Callithrix jacchus: one gene and its partners. The protein of the gene in region 1 interacts with the protein of each later gene in a biochemical or structural test. Links are inferred from orthologs where the notes say so. Each region holds a gene or a part of one and is shown in the gene's direction. Other genes may lie near its edges.

What was found.
Region 2: the proteins of LRRK1 (region 1) and ODF2 form a complex in vitro, tested with the Homo sapiens proteins (2 studies listed by BioGRID and IntAct, with this or other methods). The link is inferred for Callithrix jacchus from reciprocal best matches to the Homo sapiens genes LRRK1 and ODF2.
Region 3: the proteins of LRRK1 (region 1) and CDC42EP3 form a complex in vitro, tested with the Homo sapiens proteins (2 studies listed by BioGRID and IntAct, with this or other methods). The link is inferred for Callithrix jacchus from reciprocal best matches to the Homo sapiens genes LRRK1 and CDC42EP3.
Region 4: the proteins of LRRK1 (region 1) and GPBP1L1 form a complex in vitro, tested with the Homo sapiens proteins (2 studies listed by BioGRID and IntAct, with this or other methods). The link is inferred for Callithrix jacchus from reciprocal best matches to the Homo sapiens genes LRRK1 and GPBP1L1.
Region 5: the proteins of LRRK1 (region 1) and PDCD4 form a complex in vitro, tested with the Homo sapiens proteins (2 studies listed by BioGRID and IntAct, with this or other methods). The link is inferred for Callithrix jacchus from reciprocal best matches to the Homo sapiens genes LRRK1 and PDCD4.

Annotation. Positions count from the first base shown.
Region 1 is NC_133507.1:8,959,950-8,963,449, reverse strand, and holds part of LRRK1 (leucine-rich repeat serine/threonine-protein kinase 1), read left to right. Parts: intron 1-256; coding exon 257-386; intron 387-1,139; coding exon 1,140-1,252; intron 1,253-1,670; coding exon 1,671-1,885; intron 1,886-3,500.
Region 2 is NC_133502.1:177,055,086-177,059,020, forward strand, and holds the start of ODF2 (outer dense fiber protein 2), read left to right. Parts: upstream 1-1,135; 5' UTR 1,136-1,201; coding exon 1,202-1,365; intron 1,366-1,535; exon of another isoform or gene 1,536-2,156; intron 2,157-2,289; exon of another isoform or gene 2,290-2,497; coding exon of another isoform or gene 2,498-2,529; intron 2,530-3,935. UniProt on the Homo sapiens protein: Seems to be a major component of sperm tail outer dense fibers (ODF).
Region 3 is NC_133515.1:77,292,325-77,296,617, forward strand, and holds the start of CDC42EP3 (cdc42 effector protein 3), read left to right. Parts: upstream 1-1,493; 5' UTR 1,494-1,640; intron 1,641-2,084; exon of another isoform or gene 2,085-2,309; intron 2,310-4,293.
Region 4 is NC_133508.1:82,433,896-82,437,973, reverse strand, and holds the start of GPBP1L1 (vasculin-like protein 1), read left to right. Parts: upstream 1-1,278; 5' UTR 1,279-1,472; intron 1,473-1,849; 5' UTR 1,850-2,054; intron 2,055-2,235; exon of another isoform or gene 2,236-2,445; intron 2,446-2,867; exon of another isoform or gene 2,868-3,420; intron 3,421-4,078. UniProt on the Homo sapiens protein: Possible transcription factor.
Region 5 is NC_133513.1:103,813,872-103,817,927, forward strand, and holds the start of PDCD4 (programmed cell death protein 4), read left to right. Parts: upstream 1-1,256; 5' UTR 1,257-1,352; intron 1,353-2,478; 5' UTR 2,479-2,503; intron 2,504-4,056. UniProt on the Homo sapiens protein: Inhibits translation initiation and cap-dependent translation. May excert its function by hindering the interaction between EIF4A1 and EIF4G. Inhibits the helicase activity of EIF4A. Modulates the activation of JUN kinase.

The DNA of each region.
Region 1 (3,500 bases):
GGTTGAGCTCATAGGTTGTCATAGGTTGTCCTCTGTCTCTGCCACTGAGTGTCCTCCTCCTCACATCTTTGCCACACATGCATGCAAGGATGTCCATAGAATTAGAATCACTAGGTTGATGAGGTGAGCATTTGGTTCGCTAGGTTTGCCAGAATGCCCTCTGGAGGTTGCATCAGTTTATACACCCACCTGGCCACCACGCTGTGATGGCCCAGAATGCTTTTTAAATGCAGTCTGCTTTGCCATGTCTTTGCAGCATGTGTACTGGAATTTCCAGCCTTCCTGAGTGACTCTTTGGAAGTCCTTTGCCTGAACGACAACCACCTTGACACAGTCCCTCCCTCGGTTTGCCTGCTGAAGAGCCTATCAGAGCTCTACTTGGGGAAGTAAGTACTCATCTGGAGGGGCCGTGCTGGCTGCTGACCCAGTGAGGCACAGTGCCCATCCCTAAACCAGCTGGGACACAGAAAGCCAGGCAGAAAGAAGCCATTGACTCTTCAAGAAGCAGCAGTGGGATTTTTCAGAACAGGGCTTGATCAAGGTGGGAGGGAGAAAGGAAGATGGGGCAGCGATGGGATGAGACGCACGTTAGCTGCAGCACTCGGGCTGTGATGAGGAGAAGCACTCGGTCATCCATCCTTTCATTACTGAGCTTTCATTGCATGCCAGCTACTGCCAGGGCTTCTAGGCAGTGTGCACACCTTGATGAAAATGTAAAATGTTATATCAATATTAAAGTGACATCGCCTCTTCAAGAAGAGGTAGTGATCATCTCTATGGTGATGTAGTTGGTAGCAGAGACAGGGAAGCTGGAGGAGGGGACTCAATTCTAAGCCATGGGGATTTGCAGAAGATAGCGCTGCCCTTTCTACCACTGACCCTTCAGGGAGAAAGGCTTTGGAATTAGTGTTGAAATCAGGTCCTGAGGTGCGGGTTTTGGGGTGCAGGCTGTCAGTGGCCTCAGCAGGCTGCAGAGGCTGACAGAAGTCATGTGTGTATGTGTGTGTGCGTGCATATGTGTGCTTGCGTGTACATGCGTGCGCGTGTGTGCGTGTGTGTATGTGTGTGTGCGTGTGTGTGTTTACGTGCATGGTCTGGACACACCTGTATTCTCTCGTGATGGGCACACGTGTCTTCAGCAACCCTGGCCTCCGGGAGCTCCCTCCTGAGCTGGGGCAGCTGGGCAACCTCTGGCAGCTGGACACTGAAGACCTGACCATCAGCAATGTGCCTGCAGAAATCCGAAAAGAAGGTAGGGCATCCACAGCTCTGTCCCCTGCCATCACCTTGGAAAGACAACTCAAGTCCACTAGTTAAGTTCTGGGGGTAGAAACAGTTGGTGACCTATGGAGCCCACCTCCAGGTTCCAGGTTTGGCAAGATGCTATAAAATTGTCCCTAAAGCAGTCATTACTGAGGGTCACTATATTGAGAATGGCCAGGTGATAAACCTGGGACCTCCTAGGCAGCAAGGGCTTTGTCTATAGGTTCTTGCCTTTGAGACTTCACTTTCGGGGTGATTAGTGTCACTCCTTCCCTCCACCTGCTCCAATGTTCCTTAACTGTCCCCATCAGAACACAAAGAAAGTTTCTTCACGACAGGATTTTGTGTTCTAAGAGAAGTGAGCATGTTCCCATGCACCTACCTTTCCCCTTTATGATTCTGCACAGGCCCCAAAGCAATGCTGTCTTACTTACGAGCTCAGCTGCGGAAAGCAGAGAGGTGCAAGCTGATGAAGATGATCATCGTGGGTCCCCCGCGCCAGGGCAAGTCCACCCTCCTGGAGATCTTACAGACGGGGAGGGCCTCCCAGGTGGTGCACGGCGAGGCCACCATCAGGACCACCAAGTGGGAGCTCCAGAGGCCAGCTGGCTCGAGAGCCAAGGTCAAGAGTCCCTGTGCGCAGTGTCCCTGTGGGCGGGCGGGACATCCCTTGGACTCCTCTCTCTTCTCCACAGAGAACCCAGGGTTTTCTCAGCCTGATGTCCAAAGCCAGAACCTTTGCAGGAGCCACTGTGTACTGTTCTGTACCAGCTTCTGCCAAGAGCAGCACATCGTCTCTTGATGTGACTTTGTAGTTTTTTCCTTTCTTTTCTTTGAGACAGTGTCTCCCTCTGTCACTCAGGCTGGATGTATCCTCAACCTCCCAGCTTAAACGATCCTCCTGCCCTGTGTGTTTTTGTGATTGTGAACTCAAAGCTTTGGGCCAGTGGTTCTTAACCCTGACTGTCCATTAGATTTCCTTGAGGAGCTTTTAAAGATAGCACTGCCCAGGCCTCACCTCACTGCTCTTTGACCCCAAGGATTCAAGTTCAAGTGGTCCGGGGTAAGGCACCCCCAGGGCTGAGCATAACCACTGTTGCAGACAGTGAAACACACCAGCATCTGCCCTCTAATGAGGAAGCTAAAAGCACTCCGGGACTTAATGCCCTGTCCTCCCTGATACCTGCTTTCACCCCAGGTTCTGAAAAGTCCTGTTTCTAAGCCCTACTGAAAATAAATCCATCACTGCTTGAACCTGGGAGGTGGAGTTTGCCAAATCGCGCCACTGCACTCCAGCCTGGTGACAGAGTAAGACTCCATCTCAAAAAAAAAAAAAAAAAAAAAGGAGTTCATCACTGAACCTATTAGTCATCCTGCTTTCCATTCAGTGCCAGGCAAATGGAAAGGAACATTTTCCTGTTCATGAAACAGAGAATAGAGCCCATGAACTATAGGTGGGATCTCTATCCCTGGAATAGAGCAGGGCAGTTTGCTCTTTCTCTGAGCTTGGGGAGCAAACACACATAGATAAGGCCTTCCTCATCAGCTCTATTTGCGTTTCTGCCACCCTGTGGCTCCTTGGGATACAAGGGGCAAGGAGACTGCTTCACTATGGAAAACTGAGGAGCCCTGAGGTCCAGATGTTTCCTGATTTTCCGCCAAGTCCCACACAGTGCCAGCCAGACACCGTAGCACCTTTCACACACAGCAACGTTCCAAGCCTTGTTTGAGAACTTAGGCATTAAAGCTGTGCATCTATTCTAGCGCAGACTCGAAAGCTGGTCCTCCAAAGGATGGAGCGCTGCCTGCTGGGGCTAGAACAGTCAACACAACAATCAATGCCGGGCCCATTCTAGAGCATTCCAGGAGCAAATCCAACTGAGTCTAAAAGTTCTCTCCAGGGCCCAGAATCCTCTGCCTTGTCTCCTGCTCTGCTTTTTTCTTAACAATGATGCAATCTCATTTCTTCTCTTAGCTTCCTCTAGCTGAGGCCTGAAGGGTGAATTAGTGCTTCTATTTTTCCTGGCCTTCAGCCCCCACTTCCCTTCTGCGGTGACTAAAGCCCCACCCTTTAGTGGAAGGACAGTCCTGTGCAGCTCTCTGCGTGGCTGGCCTTAGCCGGTTGAGAACAGCTGTTTTCATCTTTATACAAAACCAGGTCAGCATGCTGTCTTGGAGGCCGACACTGCCTCACGGAGATGACTCCTTTCTGTGGAAAACTGTAGCCCTAGCTTCCA
Region 2 (3,935 bases), on another chromosome or scaffold:
CAGGAGAATTAGAGTATGGGATGGGGAAGAGGCAACGGTTTGGAAAAACCACCATCAGGAGGAGTCTAGGGACAAATAGACGTTCCTGGATAGTGTGTGGGGCTCAGCTGAGGGTGGAGGAGTGATCTGCAGATTTGATCTTTTCAGTCTTTAAATATAACTCAACGGAGTTGAGTTATAATGAGGATTAAGAAATCTCTCAAGGCCGGGCGTGGTGGCTCATGCCTGTAATCCAAGCACTTTGGAGGCCAAGGTGGGAGGATCACCAGAGGTCAGGAGTTCAAGACCAGCCTGACCAACATGGTGAAACCCCGTCTTAAAAAAAAAAAAACTCTCAATTATTCGACAGAGCGACAATGAATGGACCAAGGGATCAGGGAGCTCCCTGACATTACAGAATACAGTATGCAGTATACTGTGAAAGCCAAGCAGAAAAGCAGGTTTTGTTTGGGAGGGGAGTTTGACTTTAGGATTTCAGGTGAAACACTTGTGTGACCCTGGAGGTGTGTGGCTGAGGTGCTGCGAGGTCACTGGAGAAAGGTCAAGGGACTGTGGCCCGGTTGGCTCCGAGGTTGTTAAAGTCTCCAAGATTCCAGGGCGGCATTATGAGCCACGTGACAGACCTCCCAAGACTGGCTGAGAAGCATAATTGAGAAGATGGCAGCCCAGCGAGGACCTCATCAGAATAGGTCTGTACACAGAGCAGCAGAGTGCAGGAGGGTAGTGAAGAGCAAGGGGAATGCCGATCCTTCCTCCTTTTGGGGTCAAGACAGAGGCGATGTGGGCAGGGGAGCGAGGCCAGGGAATTGGCAGAAACCGACTCCATCCCTGCACTAATAGTGGGCTGGGGCAGGGCTGGATTTCCGGAGGCAGTGTGCAGTTCGCAGTAACTTGTTCTGTGGCTCCGCTGTGAGCCTAGTTTCTCGGTGGGTACCGAGGGGAGCGCGTCGGAGCCCTACGTTCCTTTGAGTCAGGGGAATCCGGGAGGACCCGAGGCAGGGGAAACGGCCGAGCTGGGAAGCCCTTGAATGCGGGCCGAGACCCGGTAAGGCAGGCTGGATGCGTCTACATCTCCTTGGTGACGAGACGCGTGGCCCGGAAGTGGGCGGTGCCACTGGTGGGGCGGGGCATCTCTGTGACGCCAGGGGCTGGGCCTCGATGGCGAAACCCAAGCGGCTCCCGAGGGGGTTTGAACTGGCCAATGGGCGAGGTGCCGACCGGGTGTCGGAAAAGGAGGCGGAAGCGGGGAGGAGCCGCCGCCAGAGCCGGACTACATCCGCCGCGGCGTCTCCATGGCACGGCCCTGGCCTCCGACTTCAACGACTTCATAAGGCGGCGTTTCTGGGCTCAGCCGTGTCGCTCCTGGTGAGAGGCCGCTGGCTGGCGGGATCCAGGGCGCTCCCGGGCGAGACAGTCCCCTTCGCACCCTCGGCGGGGTCGGCCCGGTAGGGCCGTCGGGTCCTGGGCCCCCAGCCGCGTCGCGCCCGTCCCCCTCCTGTCAGAACCTGGCCCCCCCCGCCCCCCCCCACCGGCGCGGGGACTCTCCTCCTTGCGCTAACGGGCGGCCGGCCGCCTCCTTCTCCTCTCTCCTGGCCACCGCGGGGCTCTGCCCCTCCTCTGCCGCTCACGGCCAGGGCTTCGTCCTTCTCCATATGGGCAGAAACCGGTCCCTTCCTGCCCGCTGGTTGGTGGCCGTCCTTTCTCTCCGCCGACCGACGCTGTCCCTCGCTCTGCTGCCTGCCGGCGGCATCTCGGCATCCGCCTCGTCCTCCCCGCGGGCCTCCGCACGGCAGTCACTTGCCCGCCCACCGTAGGCAGCGCTGTCCCCGGGCACCGTCTCCGGGTCTCCGGGGCCCTCGCCCGGCGGGTCCCGCCCGCCCCCTCTCAGCCTGGCGTCTAACCCGCTCGGAACTCGGTGTTTCGGTTTTCCCTCGCGGCTGGGCGCCCGGCCCCGGCGCACCTCCGCGCCTCGCTCCTTCAAACACTATTGGTCCTCTCGGGCACCTGTTCTTCCGGGAACGCCCCTTCTCCTAGGAAACTGTTGCCCGACCCCGCCCAGCATCTCCGCGGCTCCCTGCGCGGGTCCGGCCCACTTGGGGCCAAGCGGTTCTCACCCTCACTCTCCACACGCCCGCCGGCGCCTCAGGTTTCCCCCGGTAGCCACCGGCCGCCCTTCCCGTGGGGCCCGGGCGCGGAGATCCTTTCCCTCGCCATTGCGCCGGTTCCCTCCCCTCCCTCTCCGCTGCTTCCTTGTCGCTCAGCCTCTCCTGTCTCCCCCTACTTTGGCAGGACAGTTGCTGTGTGACTTGGACAGTAGAGGAGCGCCTCCCAAGTTTTCATCCAACTGCCACCCCCAAAGCTTCCACCCTCCTCCCCTCAGAGAGGACGTTTGATGCCGGGCCCCTTGAGAGGCTCATTGACAAGCCTGCCCGCTCTGGGTCCCCCTGAGCAGAGCCTGCTGACCCAGTTGCCCACTTTGCGGCTTTGATGCCTAGCCATGTCTGCCTCATCCTCAGGCGGCTCCCCCAGGTACTGCCGGTGTGGGAGGCGCCTGCGCCGGAGGGCAGGGAAAGGTGGCCAGGGTTCCCCAGGGCAGGCTCGCCTGAGGCTTTCAGCTTCCTCATTCTGTTTGCTGAAAGTCGGGACCAAAACATTTAAAAATCATTTTTTAAGGGAATGGGGAACGAAATGCATACAGAATCCCAGCTCTGCCTCCCTCGCTCTTTTCCTCCCCAGATATCACAGCTTCCTGGCAGCAAACAGGGCCACTCTTACTGTCTTAATAGAGTACTAGGTTCAGAGCCTTTTTTTTTTTTTTTTTTCCTGGTGACGGAACCCTCCTATGTTGCCCAGGCTAGAGTGCAGTGGCGCGATCTCAGCTCACTGCAACCTCCACCTCCTGGGTTCAAGCAGTTCTCCTGCCTCAGCCTCCGAGTAGCTGGGATTACAGACGCGCAACACAAGGCTGGACTCATTTTTGTATTTTTAGTAGAGATGGGGTTTCACCATGTTGGCCAGGCTGGACTTGAACTCCTGACCTCTTGATCTACTTGCCTTGGCCTCTCAAAGTGCCGGGATTACAGGCGTGAGCTACTGCGCCCGGCTGGTTCAGAGCCTTTTTGAAGGGAGTCCAGGTGTAAATAACGTGTAAGGAAGTGGATGTGGCAATTAGCAAGATGGTGGAATCCAGGTGGTTTGACAGGAAACCCACTGAGAGATTGCCCAAAACTGTTGGCTTTACGTGAACAATGTTCTAAATAATTAGGGAAAAAAGCCTGTCTTCTCAGTTTTGGTATTCCTTGGCTAAAGGATCACTAGAGTTCAATATATATATATATATATATATATATATATATATATATATATATATATATATTTCTTTTTAAAATCAAGATGTTACATACATACAGCAAAATGCATACCAAAGTGCTCAAGTATTTTTTCCATGCATTTTGATGTTGCATTATTTTCCCCAATTATTTGTAGAGAGGGCAAGATGGGACCACTCCATCCCTGCTCCACCCTCCCCGCCACCCCCAGGTCACTCAGCCTGTGATCTCCCCCTAACTTTGGGGGCCAGTGCGGTGGCTCATGCCTGTGTAATTCCAGATATTTTAGAGCCTGACCAACATGGTGAAACCCCATCTCTACTAGAAATACAAAGCAATCCCAGCCTGACCAACATGGTAAAACCCCGTCTCTACTAGAAATAAAAAAATTTAGCTGGGAATAATGGCACGTGCCTTTTCTCAGTTACTCAGGAGGCTGAGTCAGGAGAATTGCTTGAACCCAGGAGGTGGAGGTTGCAGTGACCCAAGATTGGGCCACTGCACTCTATCCTGCACTCCATCTTGGGAAAAAGAAAATTGCAATGAGATGGATCAGGTGGTTATTCCAAGTCCCTTCCCATCCCGGAATTCTTGGATATACTGCTG
Region 3 (4,293 bases), on another chromosome or scaffold:
AGATAACTCTTTAGAGCCCAGCAGTGAAGAAGTCTCATTTCAAAATGGCAGAGGGAGAGAAAACCTCCGAAAGGCAAGGAATAATGTAGAAAAGTAAAATTAGGGTTTTGGAATAAAACTGCCACCTCAAACAACCTGCCACTCTATATTTGCACAAACTATAAAAGAAGTTATTTATTGGGCCATGTGGAAATAAAGTGCTTTTAACAGCAGCTAACAATAGATCACGTGAAAAAAAGTTACATATAAGACGTGGAAGGAATGTCTTTATGTGTTCAAAAGGAATTTTACATGTGGTTTTTTATAAATATATACACACACATTATTTGGACCTATACCATATGTAATGAAAACTATGCATAAATATTTATAAAAATACCATTTTTTAAGTAAGCCAGAAACATTTAATATTTTTCAATAAATTAATATATAAAATATATACATTAGTGCCAAATGGAACATATTTGAAATATGAGCCCCAAGTAAAATGCTCAGGAATCTGGAGTAGAATCCAGGTATCTGCCAAAGGAAATTTTGGACCAGTTGTCTTTTGAAGAAGGGAAACAATGCTGGGTCTCTTATCTTCACGCACTGTTTTGCTTGTCAAACTTCTAGCATCACTTCAGCGGAGTTTAGTATTTGACTTCTAACCTCATGGCTATTTGACCTGCCAACTATTATTTTTCTTTGAGGCTTTTAACTCTCCACCCAAGTATTTTGCTTCCAGAACAGTTGTGTCCGTTTCCTTTTCACTTCACCTTAACGTCAGCCTGGGTTTACAACGTCGGCTTAAGGTGCACCCTCTAAGGTTTCAGATAGACCCAGGGCACTGCGGTGATGACCTGAAGCTGATATCTTTCGGCAAAGCCAAGGTGCTTGGGAGGTTCTCCGCGTTGTGCCAGGATTTCCATCCAACCTGAGAGTCTTAGGGCAGAGGCCAGACCCCGAGCGTCTGACTCCCCAGGGTCCCAGCCCCTTCCCCAGGCTGATCCTGCGGGCTGGGACCTCCCAGCCGGAAAACACTGCCCTTTCCTGTGGCCTACTCCTTCCACAGGCCGACGACTCTCAGAAGAGGAGGAGACGGAGACCGATTAAGAAAATTAGCATTCATTAACCCGGTTCGAGCTCAGGCCCCCGCGGAGGGGAGGGGCGCGCCAGGCGGCGGCGTCTGGGTGACCGGCGGGCGCAGGTGCCGCCACGGGCGGAATTTTACGCTCCCGGGCCGGCAGCTGCACCACTTGCGCCTCGTCGGGCGTCTGGGGCAGCCGCCAACAGCTTGCCCCTACTTTAGGCAAATCCCTTTAAAAGACCCCGAGGGAGAAGACACGCCTCCCTCTGAACTGGAGAACCTGTAGCGTCTGCGGTTCGTCGCGTGTCCAGCTGCTCAGCCGGTAGCTCCGGCATCTCCAGGGCGTTAAGTCCACTCTCCGGGTTTTGGCTGCAGCTACTAGGGGAGCGAGCTGGAAACTGACAGAACGCGACCCTCCCCCTCCGCGCTCACCGGAGCCCGGGCTGCGAGGGACCCGGGGAGCTGCGGCCGGGCTGGGGCGGCGCACTCAGGTGGCTTCGCTTCCCTGCGGGTCACCGCCCGCCACGCCGGAACCTCGCACAGCTAGGTCGGCTTGTTGGGATCGGGAGAGGTGGGCGCACGAGGTTTACTGCGGGAGTCCGGGGTACGGGCGGAGTCCTATTGTCCCCGAGCACCCGGGCGGCAGCACCTCGGGGTCCTTCTTTAAACCGGGAGTGTGGCGACCTTTCTTTGTGCTAAGGGAGCCGAACGCGGGTTCTTCTCTGAGGGAAGTCGCCTACTTGGGGGTGGCGCTGGGGAGGTAACAGTGGGCGCCCATTGTCCTCCGAGGGTCCGCCGTTGACCCCCCCCCACCCCCCGCGCGCCTGGCCGCCTGCTGGCCCCGGGCCAGGGCACAGGTACCGCGTCCGGGAGGGTCGGCCCCGCCGCCCGCTCCCTCCGCTCCCTCCGCTCCCTCCGCTCCGCCCCGCCCCGGGCCAGCCCCGCGCCGCCGGCCCCGCCCCGCGTTGCCCCGCCCTCCGCAGGTTCAGTCCTCGCGTCCGGCCGCCTAACGCTCAGTCGCGCGCACCTTCTCTCGCGGCCGAGGGGCCGCGGCGCGGGGCCAACCCGGAGACCCGGCCGCGGGCCTGGAGAGCCTTCACGCCGTCTCGGAGCGGAGAATGCGGTGAGCAGGCGCCGCGCCGCGCCGGCACACCCGGCTGGTTCTGCAAGCACCGGCAGGCTGGTTCTGCTTGTGCCCGTGGGGGGCTCGGGCAGCGGTTGAGATCCTCGGCGGCTGCCGGTGAGTCGGGAGAGCCCAGAACTCCTTCCTCTCTACCTGTCTGTGAGTCTGTCCCGCCCGCGGCCGTGGCCGCTTTCCGGCGTGCGCTGGTGTTAGGCTGGGAAACCAACAGAGAGACTGGATACCGAGGGCATCGCTTTCCCATCTCATGTTCAAAGGACTGAAGGGAACGTAAAGCAAGCCAGGAGGGGGTCGGGCGGCCCCACCGGAACGTAGGGCTCCTCCATTTGCGCCCACCACTTTTAAGGGTGGGGCTGCGCGGCCGCATTGCACCCTCTGAGCTATTGACAGAGCCATTCTGGCCGCGTGTAGAATTTTTCCATAGGAGAACAAGCCTCACTTCGCTACCGCGCCCCTCGCGTCGTGGATTGGAACCAGAGCCGCACATGGGTGCATCGCACAGCTCTGCCGTGGCATCGCCCCCCCCCGCCCCGTGCCCTCTTCTTTCTTAACGGAGAGCATTGTTAGCGGGGCAACAACCTGCAGATCTGGCTATTGACTTTTTTTGTTTTTTTGTCTTTTGACCGTGACAGCTGAAACATTTACAAGGTTTTGGGGTTCCCCAGACCTTTCTCCTTGAAACTAAGTGCCTTGACACAGACAAATATCAGACATGTGAGGACGAATGGCTCTGGCCATTTTTTCTTTATGAATTATTATGCTCTATCCCCCTCTCGACTTTGGGAGGCATGTGTTTCATCTTATAAATAGAAAGTAGAATATTTTTTGGCAGGATTTCCTTTATACTGTACAGTCTAGGAGAGGTCAGTTTAAAAATAAATACGCACTTGAATGTTACATTACCGAGAGCCAGGCTGTGGCTGGGACAAGCTGCGTGGACAGCAGCATCAAAGCCGGGAGCGCAGCTGTGTTGAAAGTAGTAAAAGCCCCAGAGTGCAGCCCAGGCTGACAGTCAAGTAATTACATTTTGTTTAAAAAAAAAAAAGGTGAGGGGAGCGAATTAAAATGAGGGCGGGAATAGGATTGTCAGAAGGGTATTGCAACATGAATCTTTCCAGCCCGGGCGTATTTGGAGGAGTGGGCTGCTGGTGTGTGCTGAGGGTGTAGGGGGGCTCTAGGGAGGGAACTGATAAATGTGTTAGGGAGACAGAGATTCTGTCCCCATCCCCCAGATCTTAGTTCTCACAATATCCAAGAGTTTCTTGGGAGTACTGCCTTTTAAACGGAACAAAATTAGAAGAGCAGCAGATGTCTGTATTTTAATAGCAAAGCCGGTCTTAGGGACTTCCCCTTAACATCACAGGGAGGAAAAAAAGACTCGCCAGGAACCACTGATGATGCCCTAAGGGTCTTGTCCCTAAGATAATTTAAAAGCCTCCTGTAATGTTCTAATTTATACAAGAGCTTTCCTCTTAAAACCAGGAAATGTACCTTTTCTTTTCTGGACAATTCCAGAAGTCTATTCTTTCATACCCCCTGCAATTTGTATAAGCTCTTATTGGTAGTTAATAAACTACACAGGTATGTGTGTGATGCATATCCTTTTCAGAATAGATTTAGACACTCAGAAATAAGTTGGAGTAGTTGCGAAATATTTAGCACTTTCACGTGAAATAAATGATAAAGGCCATTTATCTAGTCAAGGAATGGTTGAAAGTTCCTTACGAAGTCTCCCGAAGAATGCTGCTTTCCCAATGGGCCTCACCCATTGAATGAAACAGCCCCAGTCTCTGGGCTCACAGATAAGAACTTTAGAGGAAAAATTTGGAAGCGTTTCTGGATCCAAGACAGTTTCTGTTTTCCAGTGGTATCATCTGCTAGAGATTTACATGATGAATTCAATGATTAGAACATGGTGCTGAGGCTGTGGCAGCAGCTACAGGCTTGAAATAAGATGAGCTCCTCTTTCCCTCCATCTGATCAGTGAAATTGTCTCACATATCTCTATGGAACAAGTAAAAGCAGCTAGAGTAGTAAGTGTGGCACACTTTTTGCTTTTTAGTGTACATTTAAGTGTGGTGCA
Region 4 (4,078 bases), on another chromosome or scaffold:
GCTGGGCATGGTGGTGCGTGCCTGTAGTCCCAGCTACTCGGGAGGCTGAGGCAGGAGAATTGCTTGAACCCAGAAGGCAGAGGTTGCGGTGAGCCAAGATCGTGCCATTGCACTCCAGTCTGGGTAACAACAGCGAAACCGCCTCAAAAATAAATAAATTAATTAAAAAAAATAAAAAAATCGATTGGGCCGGCGCGGTGGCTCACCCCTGTAATCCCAACACTTTGGGCAGCTGAGGCAGGCGGATCACGAGGTCAGGAGTTCGAGACCAGCTGGCCAACATAGTGAAACCCGTCTCTACTAAAGATACAAAAAATTTGTTTCCTATGATTCATGTTAGAGGAAGTAAAAAACAAAAAATCAAAAAAACAAAACAACAAAAAAAAAGATACAAAATATTAGCAGGGCGTGGTGGCGGGTGCCTGTAATCCCAGCTACTTGGGAGGCTGACAAAGGAGAATCTCTTGAACTTGAGAGGCGGAGGTTGCAATGAGCCAAGATCATGCCACTGCACTCCAGCCCAGGCGACAGTGCGAGACTCCATCTCAAAAAAAAAAAAAATTGAACTAATTTATTGATCACAGATCCACATATCTTAGGGTTGGGTCAAGAAACCCTGTATACCAGTGAATGTCTTCATTCTAAAGGAACAGGTAAGTTAGATCACATCCACACCCACCCACCTGAGCCCCAGACCAAAATGCCCGCAGAGTGTACCCATCACTTTTGTCAAAATCAGTTTCTTCGTTAAGACTTTCCAGACCACTTCATTTAAAATCTCAACCATTCCCCCACCTTTGGAAACGCCCTATCCTCTGTAGCACATGCTTTCCAATTAATGGGTATAAAAACGTGATAACCTAAAGTCCAGCGACGGCAGGTGATGAGGGGATTAAGGACTGAGACTCAAAGGTTAATCCTCCTAATTTGGATGAAAGAGCAATATGCCCATTGCCCTAATAGGAAGACTGCAACTGCCAGCTTCAAAAAGACCTCTGAGAAAGGGGGGAGGAGTTTAGACGCCAGTGTCTTCGGGAAACCTTGCCCTACAGTACCCGCGTCTCCAATTTACTACCAACCCTTGGTGCCTCCCATCCCACCCTGTATCTGTGGCGGCTTTGAGATTTACCAGTGTTGCACAGAGAGATGGAACACAGCAGCAAGAAAACAGCCCATGTCTCCCTGGAAAGACACTTCCGGCAAGTGGAATCAGAGAAAGCCCCCTGCTTCCTGAGGACTCAAAAGAAAATAAGTCCGGGTAGGGCCTTACCCTGCGCTAACTGGTTCCTACGCCCGGCTTTCTGTTTGGGGGCCATTCTCAATTTCTAGTTGAAGCCAGATGTTGAACAAGGTACCTGAACGGTTCTTGACTTTCTGTTTCATGGCTCCCAGGCAGCAGAATCTGCCCACAGAGTTCGAGAAGGTAGAGTGCAAGTACTGAAACAATCTCAGAATGATGGTGGTGAAGGAAGGTAAGAGACGGGATTTTAGGCCCAGAGTGACCTGGCCAAATTGCTTGTCATCTGTGGAATTTATTTTTTACTTTGCAAAACAGGGTTATAAGACCTATGGGGCCCATGTCACTCCGCATTACGGCCCTTTACTATTAGTTAAAGGAAGAAAAAAGCCCAATTATTACATTTATTTTCTTTGCTAGGAGATAGAAACTTCATTAAGGATTAAATAGCACAAGAGCAGGATTTTTACTTCCATGAAAGGTGTGGTGATAAGAGCCCTGGGCTTGGGGGTGGTGCGGAAAGTCAGATCATTTCTCCTGCTGCCCGCGGCTTTATTTCTCCGCTATGTGACCTTGGGCAAGTCCCTTCTCTTATCTGGATTTGTTTCACAGGAAATGGCACTAGGCAATCTGAGTGTCCTTCCGTGTATATGGATAAAGCTGAAGACATGTATCTCAGGGGCCCACGCCGGCCAGCCCCTCCATTCCTCTGGATTCTACGTAGTGTAGCTTCCTGGTTGCCACCCATCACATGGTTTAGTGTTCCGTGCCGGAAGGAGCCACAGCAAAGTGTTCGCTAATAGCGCTTTTAGTAGAGGTAGGCCTTCAGTTTTTATTGCCTTCTCTGTCATGGCACCGCCGCCCCTTCCAGTAGTGCGATACCCAATGAGACTTAAGGTAGAAGAAACGGCACTGTCACTGGCGCAGACTCTAGCCAAAAGCCCGCCCTGCGCTGGGGCGGGGCATGACGCTTGCGCTCCCAGGGAACTACTACTCCCAGTGGGTTGCGCGGCTCACCCAGCCGCGCAGCCTCCGGAGCAAGGCCGTGTGGGCTGCTGGGGACTGGAGTCTCAACGACACGCACACGTGAAGGAAGGAGCGGAAGGTGGGAAAGGGCTGAAAAACACACGTTCCTCCGAAACCGGTTTGCAAGTCCTTGTAGAGGTAGTTTCGGGACGCGTACCGGCCCACGGGAGGGCTGTGGGAAGGTGAAGAAAGAAGGAATACACACATACATACCCACCCACTCATTCATACGCGCTCAGGCCCTGAAAGTGGGCAGGGGGGTTAGAAGGGGCGTACTAAATTAGGCTTGTCCTTGCTTCAGGCGGCACGAGGAAAGGCAGAGGATTCAACTCTGTAGGAGGCGGAGGCGACCACGCGCCGCCTCCAGCGGCGAGGAAGGGAGCCAGGGGCAGGGCAGGGCATAACCGCCGTTCTGGAAGCCGAACGTTGGCAGCTCGGGGCGCGAGCGTCTCTCCGGCAGTGTTGGCGGGGCAGGTCCCGCGCGCATGCGCTCCTTCAGGTGGGCGTGTGTAAGGCGGGGTCGGACGGGGGACGGGAGGGCCATGCTGCTCGTCGCTCCTCCTCCTCCTCCACCCGCTCTGCCCCTCCTGGGTCTTGTGGGCTGGGCAGCCATTTTGGGAAGAGCTTTGTTATGGTTGTGGGCTAGCCGCCTCTGCCGGGTCGACAAGCTGGGGACGCGTCCTTAGACGCCGCGTCTCGTCCCTGGTCGTAGCCCCACCGCTGCACGGTGAGTGGGAGTTGGGGACAACGGGGCAGTAGGAGATCTTGGAGTCGTTCCGGCGCGGGGCTCCGCCCGGTGCCTAACCAACCGGCTGTTAAAACTAGGTTAAAGAAGCTCTCACACAGGTGGTTGGTTGTAGGTCCTACCCGAGAGGGGCGAGCGGAGCCCACGGGTCAACTGGTTCGAACGGGGCACTCCCGCCACCGCAGTGCTTAGAGCTTTGCACGCGAGCGTTGCCGGGGCTCTGCGTAAGCGCTGCTACTTTAACTTTGGTCGTCGGGTCGGAACGCTCACCTGCGGCTTTTTGGCTCCTCTCCAGACGATCCGGCTTGGTGCCGGTTGAGGGACTTGGTTTACGGGTTTTTTTCTTTCCCTCTTGAAATGAGAGCTAAGAGCTTTTGTTTTCCTTCAAAGAAAAACCTAAGGAGGAAAAAGTGTAAGTCAAATGTTGGATATTTTAGGGGAAAAAAGTTAACCCCCAGCATTCCGGTTCTCCGTGGTAGCGAGGTGTTTTCGTTTAGATTGAGTCTATCCAATATTTTCCAACCCCCTTCCCTTGCGGGGGTTGCGGGGGAAATCCTGAAATGTTTTAAGAGTGTTATTTTTTTTCTCGTCTTAAATCTACTTCTCCTCAACCCGAGAAATTCAAAAGAAAGTCTGAATCTAAAATGGCTGTAGCTTGGGGAACTGCCCTGCCCTTCGATTACTTAAATACAGTAACGTTTAAAAATTTTAGTCGTTTCCCCTATGGGGACATTAACTGAATCTTTTGTTCTTCTGGCTTTTTACAATTGTTGTCTCATCTTTAACTCTCTTGCTAGGTGAAAACAAAGGTGAGACTCACAAAGTTGACTTACTCCAAAAGTTTACATAAGAATGGGTGCGGTGGTGTGTGTGTGTGTTTAATAGTTGCTTATAGTTTTCAGATTGTGCTGTGGTGTCAATTTTATTTGCCAACTTTGCGCTCTGAGGGTGGCTTGTCATATTTGTTGAAATACTTTTAATGTTGATATTCATTGCTTACCAGGAAAATACAGAGTTAATAATAGTGGTTCGTGTTTTAGTTTAGTAACAAGTCATGTTCTTGTGTAAAC
Region 5 (4,056 bases), on another chromosome or scaffold:
CCAGGAGGCGGAGGTTGCGGTGAGCCGAGATCGCACCATTGCACTCCAGCCTGGGTAACAAGCGCGAAACTCCGTCTCAAAACAAACAAACAAACAAAACTAGCAGCGGGTGGGGAAGCATGTAGGGAGATGTGGAGACACAGCCTGAAAGTCTTAAAGTCACATAGTGGAGCCTTGAATGACCGACCCGGGTGCTGACACTCAAGAGAGGCAATGGGAAGACAATGAAGGTTTATTGTTTTGTTTTGTTTTGTGCAGAGAAATAGTAGCATTAGAGATGATTCCCAGGCAGGGTGACTGGGTAGCCAGGGTAAGGCGTGGCTTGTGCGGAATTAAGACAGTTGGGTTCTGGAGAGACCAAGCAATCATTCATGTGTGACCCATCAAACAACTGGAAAATCTGATCAGAGGTAAGTGGTTAAGTCCCCTCCTGGGAGCAGAGGGAGCACAAGGTTCTGGTTATTACCTCAGGGGACAGCGACCGAGAAAGAATACGGAAAGGACCAGCCAAAACGAACGCAGCCAAGACGAAAGGTCACAGAGAACAGCCAGGGGACCTGGGAATTTCAATACAGAGATTGTAGCCATGGCCCAGAACCCCAGCACGGGAGTCCAGAATGTGTGCGTTTGAACACCAGAGGCTTGGCTAGTCATGATTAGCAAAGCGACTTCAAAGAGTTTTTGAGCCTGTCTTATATCTGTAAAATGGGAATGATTTCTATCTCAAAGGGTTGAGGGGATTCGCTGAGAGTAACTTCTTAGTTATGGGATCTGCAGAAACTCTCCCTGGAGAGAGCAGGGGCCAGAGGGAGAAGGAATCCGACAGGCTGAACACTTGGGAGTGTCTAGAAATGGAGGCAGGGACCGTCAGGAAGCTGAAAATCTTTGCTTCAGCTGAGTTTGCAGCACGCCGTGCGAGGAGAATGGGTGCGCTGGGTCTGGGGAGCTTCTTTGTCCCCATTCCCCAGCACTGCCCGTGGGCCGACGCTCCCATCCCGCCACGCCTCCCAACGTACCCTCACCCGGGCTTCCCGCTCAGCTCCCGCTCCAGCCAGTCCCAGGAACCACAAGCGCATGCGCCCTCCCGCGCCCCTCCCCAACTTTCCACGTTTCATTCCTCTCCCTTTTCCTCCCCAGCTCCGGCTCCGCCGCTACGATTGGCCAACCGGCCACCGGGCCTCCGCCAATAAGCGCAGCCTTCTCGCCCCCGTGTTACTGGGTAGAAGAAAACAAAAACAAACAGAGCGAGAGGGGCCAGAGACTCTCCGAGGTGCAGAGGCGGCGGAGGCAGAGGAGCGGGATCGGGGCCGGCAGACCGGGGACCTGGGCGAGCAGCGGCGGGGGCCCGAGGGGTCAGTACCAGTGGGCGCGGCTCGCACGCTCGGGAAGATTGCTCCCTTTCCCTCATTCCCCCTCGGGGCAGCCGCACGATGGGAGGGGGCATGGGGGCCGCGGCCCTGTCAGGTCCTGGCCTGCGAGGCTGGGGTCCGGCTGCCTCCTCATAGCCCCACAGGTCCAGCCGCGCCCGCCCCAACGCTCCGGGACGCCGGCCCGGTTCCCTCCATCTGGGCCCAGCCCGGAGCGTGGCGACGCGGGCCCGCCCCCTCCCGGAGTCCTCTCCCCACTGAGAGGGGCGCGCGCCGGCGAGGGCCCCCCCCCAACCCTCCTCCCCCTCTGGCGGAGGTTGAATTCGGGGGTCAGGATTGGAAGGCGTGTTTCCGGTGAGACTGAAATCCTGTGAGGAAGGTTCGCATCCTCACCGCGCCCTCCTGAGAATCCCCTGAAGATGCATCCCCATGCCCGGCGTGCCCCGGAGACCCGGTCCCGGCCCAGCAGTTTCTGGGGGCCAGCCAGGGCTGGGGACTTCGGGGGTCCGGGCCTGAGCCCTCTGCAAGGGAGCGGGCTCGGCCGCTGCGGGGAAGGGCCACGCGCTCGCCTCGCCGGGGGGCTAGGAGGCGTACACGTGCCCGCCTCCCCTGCCCTGTGCGAACTTCGCCGCTCCAGCCCTCCGGCAAAGGGTCTCTTTTTTTTAGTTTAGGTAAAATAAAATCTCCCGGAGAAAACAAAGCCGGGAAGGGAGCCCCCTTTCTGTGAAACGCGTGCCATCTGCTGCATTTGTCAGTTTGGTGCTGTAACGTACATGGAGTTTTGCAAGAGCTTTAAAACTGTCTGCAGACGTCGATTTAGCCCACCTCCCCCTTGCTCTTGTGAGAACTTGCTACGTAGCCAGCAACTGTGTAGTGTCTACAAATGATAAAAACGATCAGAAATGCTGCTAGGTGTCGGGGAAAAGAGGGTTTCTCCTATTTTTTAACTTGCATTTTTACTGTTAATTTTTATAATTTTGATATTCTTTTTTTTCTGCCCCCCACCCACAATTTTGATATTCTTAACGTGGCTGTTTTTTTGGGAAACCACCAAGTGCTTTTTAAACAAGTAGTTATTGGTATTTATGTCCTTAATATTCCTTCATTACAGGTTTATTGAATACCTTAATAACTCAGTAAGTGCCTTTGAATTCTAATTGATTGGCTTTTTCCGTGATACTAATGTGAAAGGAAAAATAATTGTTAGGACTAAAAAAATAAATGCCACTTGAATATTTTCTGTAGTGCTCGTTTTTGCATTATTGTGGTACAAAGCTTTTAGCTGATTTTAAGCTGCTAATTAGCTGGCTGTAGCCGAAGAATGAATATAAGTAATTGTAGTTAATAAATGACTCCCCAAAATGCCAGAGCAATTTCTGAGGTATATTTCGGGAAATACATACAAATATACATACATACATATATATATATGTATATATACACATATACATGTATATATACACATATACACACACACATTTGCGGGGGAGTGGAGGGTCTTTTAGGGAAATGTCTTGGGAATTGAATAACACACTGGAGAAAAGAACAGTGTTTAATGTCAGCCTTCGTTTTCTTCTAACTTGTATGTATAGTTTTCTCATTGAAAATTCGTTTTTATAGGATGGTATGAAGGAAATAGGGTTTGGATTTTTTGCCATGTATTTTCCTGTTTGGGCCAATTGTGTTAACGGTTAAATTGGAAAAAAAAAGTCCTACTAGTTTTAAAGAGAGTAAAAACGTGGAACGTGTCTTATCTTTATCTGAACTCTTAAAATGTGTGTTGGCTGCTTTCAAATATGACTTGAGTTATCGATCGGGTTATCATTGCCTAAAAACACAGGACTTTTTTTTTTTTATTAAGATAACTTTATTAGGTAAGAGATGATACTCATTTCCTGACAGTTTTCTTTGTCTGATGGAATGCCTTCTGTATGATAGTTTAAAATAATTATTTTAAGTGTTTGGAAAACAGTATTTTAAAAAGTTTGATTTAACAGCAGAAGTCTGTTTTAATAAGCTTCTTTAAGAATCTTCCTATGGGATATTAAAATCTTGGATTGAACTTGTGCAGACAGTACTGGATTTGGAAGGTCTAGATTCTCATCCTGGCTCAAACTAAGCAGCTGTTTGTCCTTGGACATATTACCTACCCTCTCTGAATCTGTTTAGTTGTGTGTAAAGTGGAATACCTACCTGAAGATTGTTCTGTAAGGTACTAAATAATACATGTAAAATTCTTTTTGAATTGCAAGGGGCTTTTTAAACATCAGTTATATTCATTTCACTTATTAGGTTCTGCAGAAAATATTCTCTCAAAGGTTATACTTTCATCAAGAATGAAAAAGACTATAATAGAACTCTAAAAAACTCAAACACATCATATGACATTATTCCTTTCCTATAGGTAATTCATGCATGGAATTGAAACAGAATGTAGCCTTTTCAGCCATCAAGGATGCTAAATGTTTAAATCTGCAAACCATTTTTGTTCATGTATCTATATGAATCTCCATATACATATTTTTAAGATTTCTTTTCAAATCTAAAGTTGGTGAGAGTTATATTGAAAAGTGATTATAAAGAATCACATATATGAATATAATCTAGACAGAATTAGAGAATGGTCTCACCGTTTTCTTAAGTTCCCAAGCAATATGATAGCATGTTAGTCTGAGGATTATGCCATAGT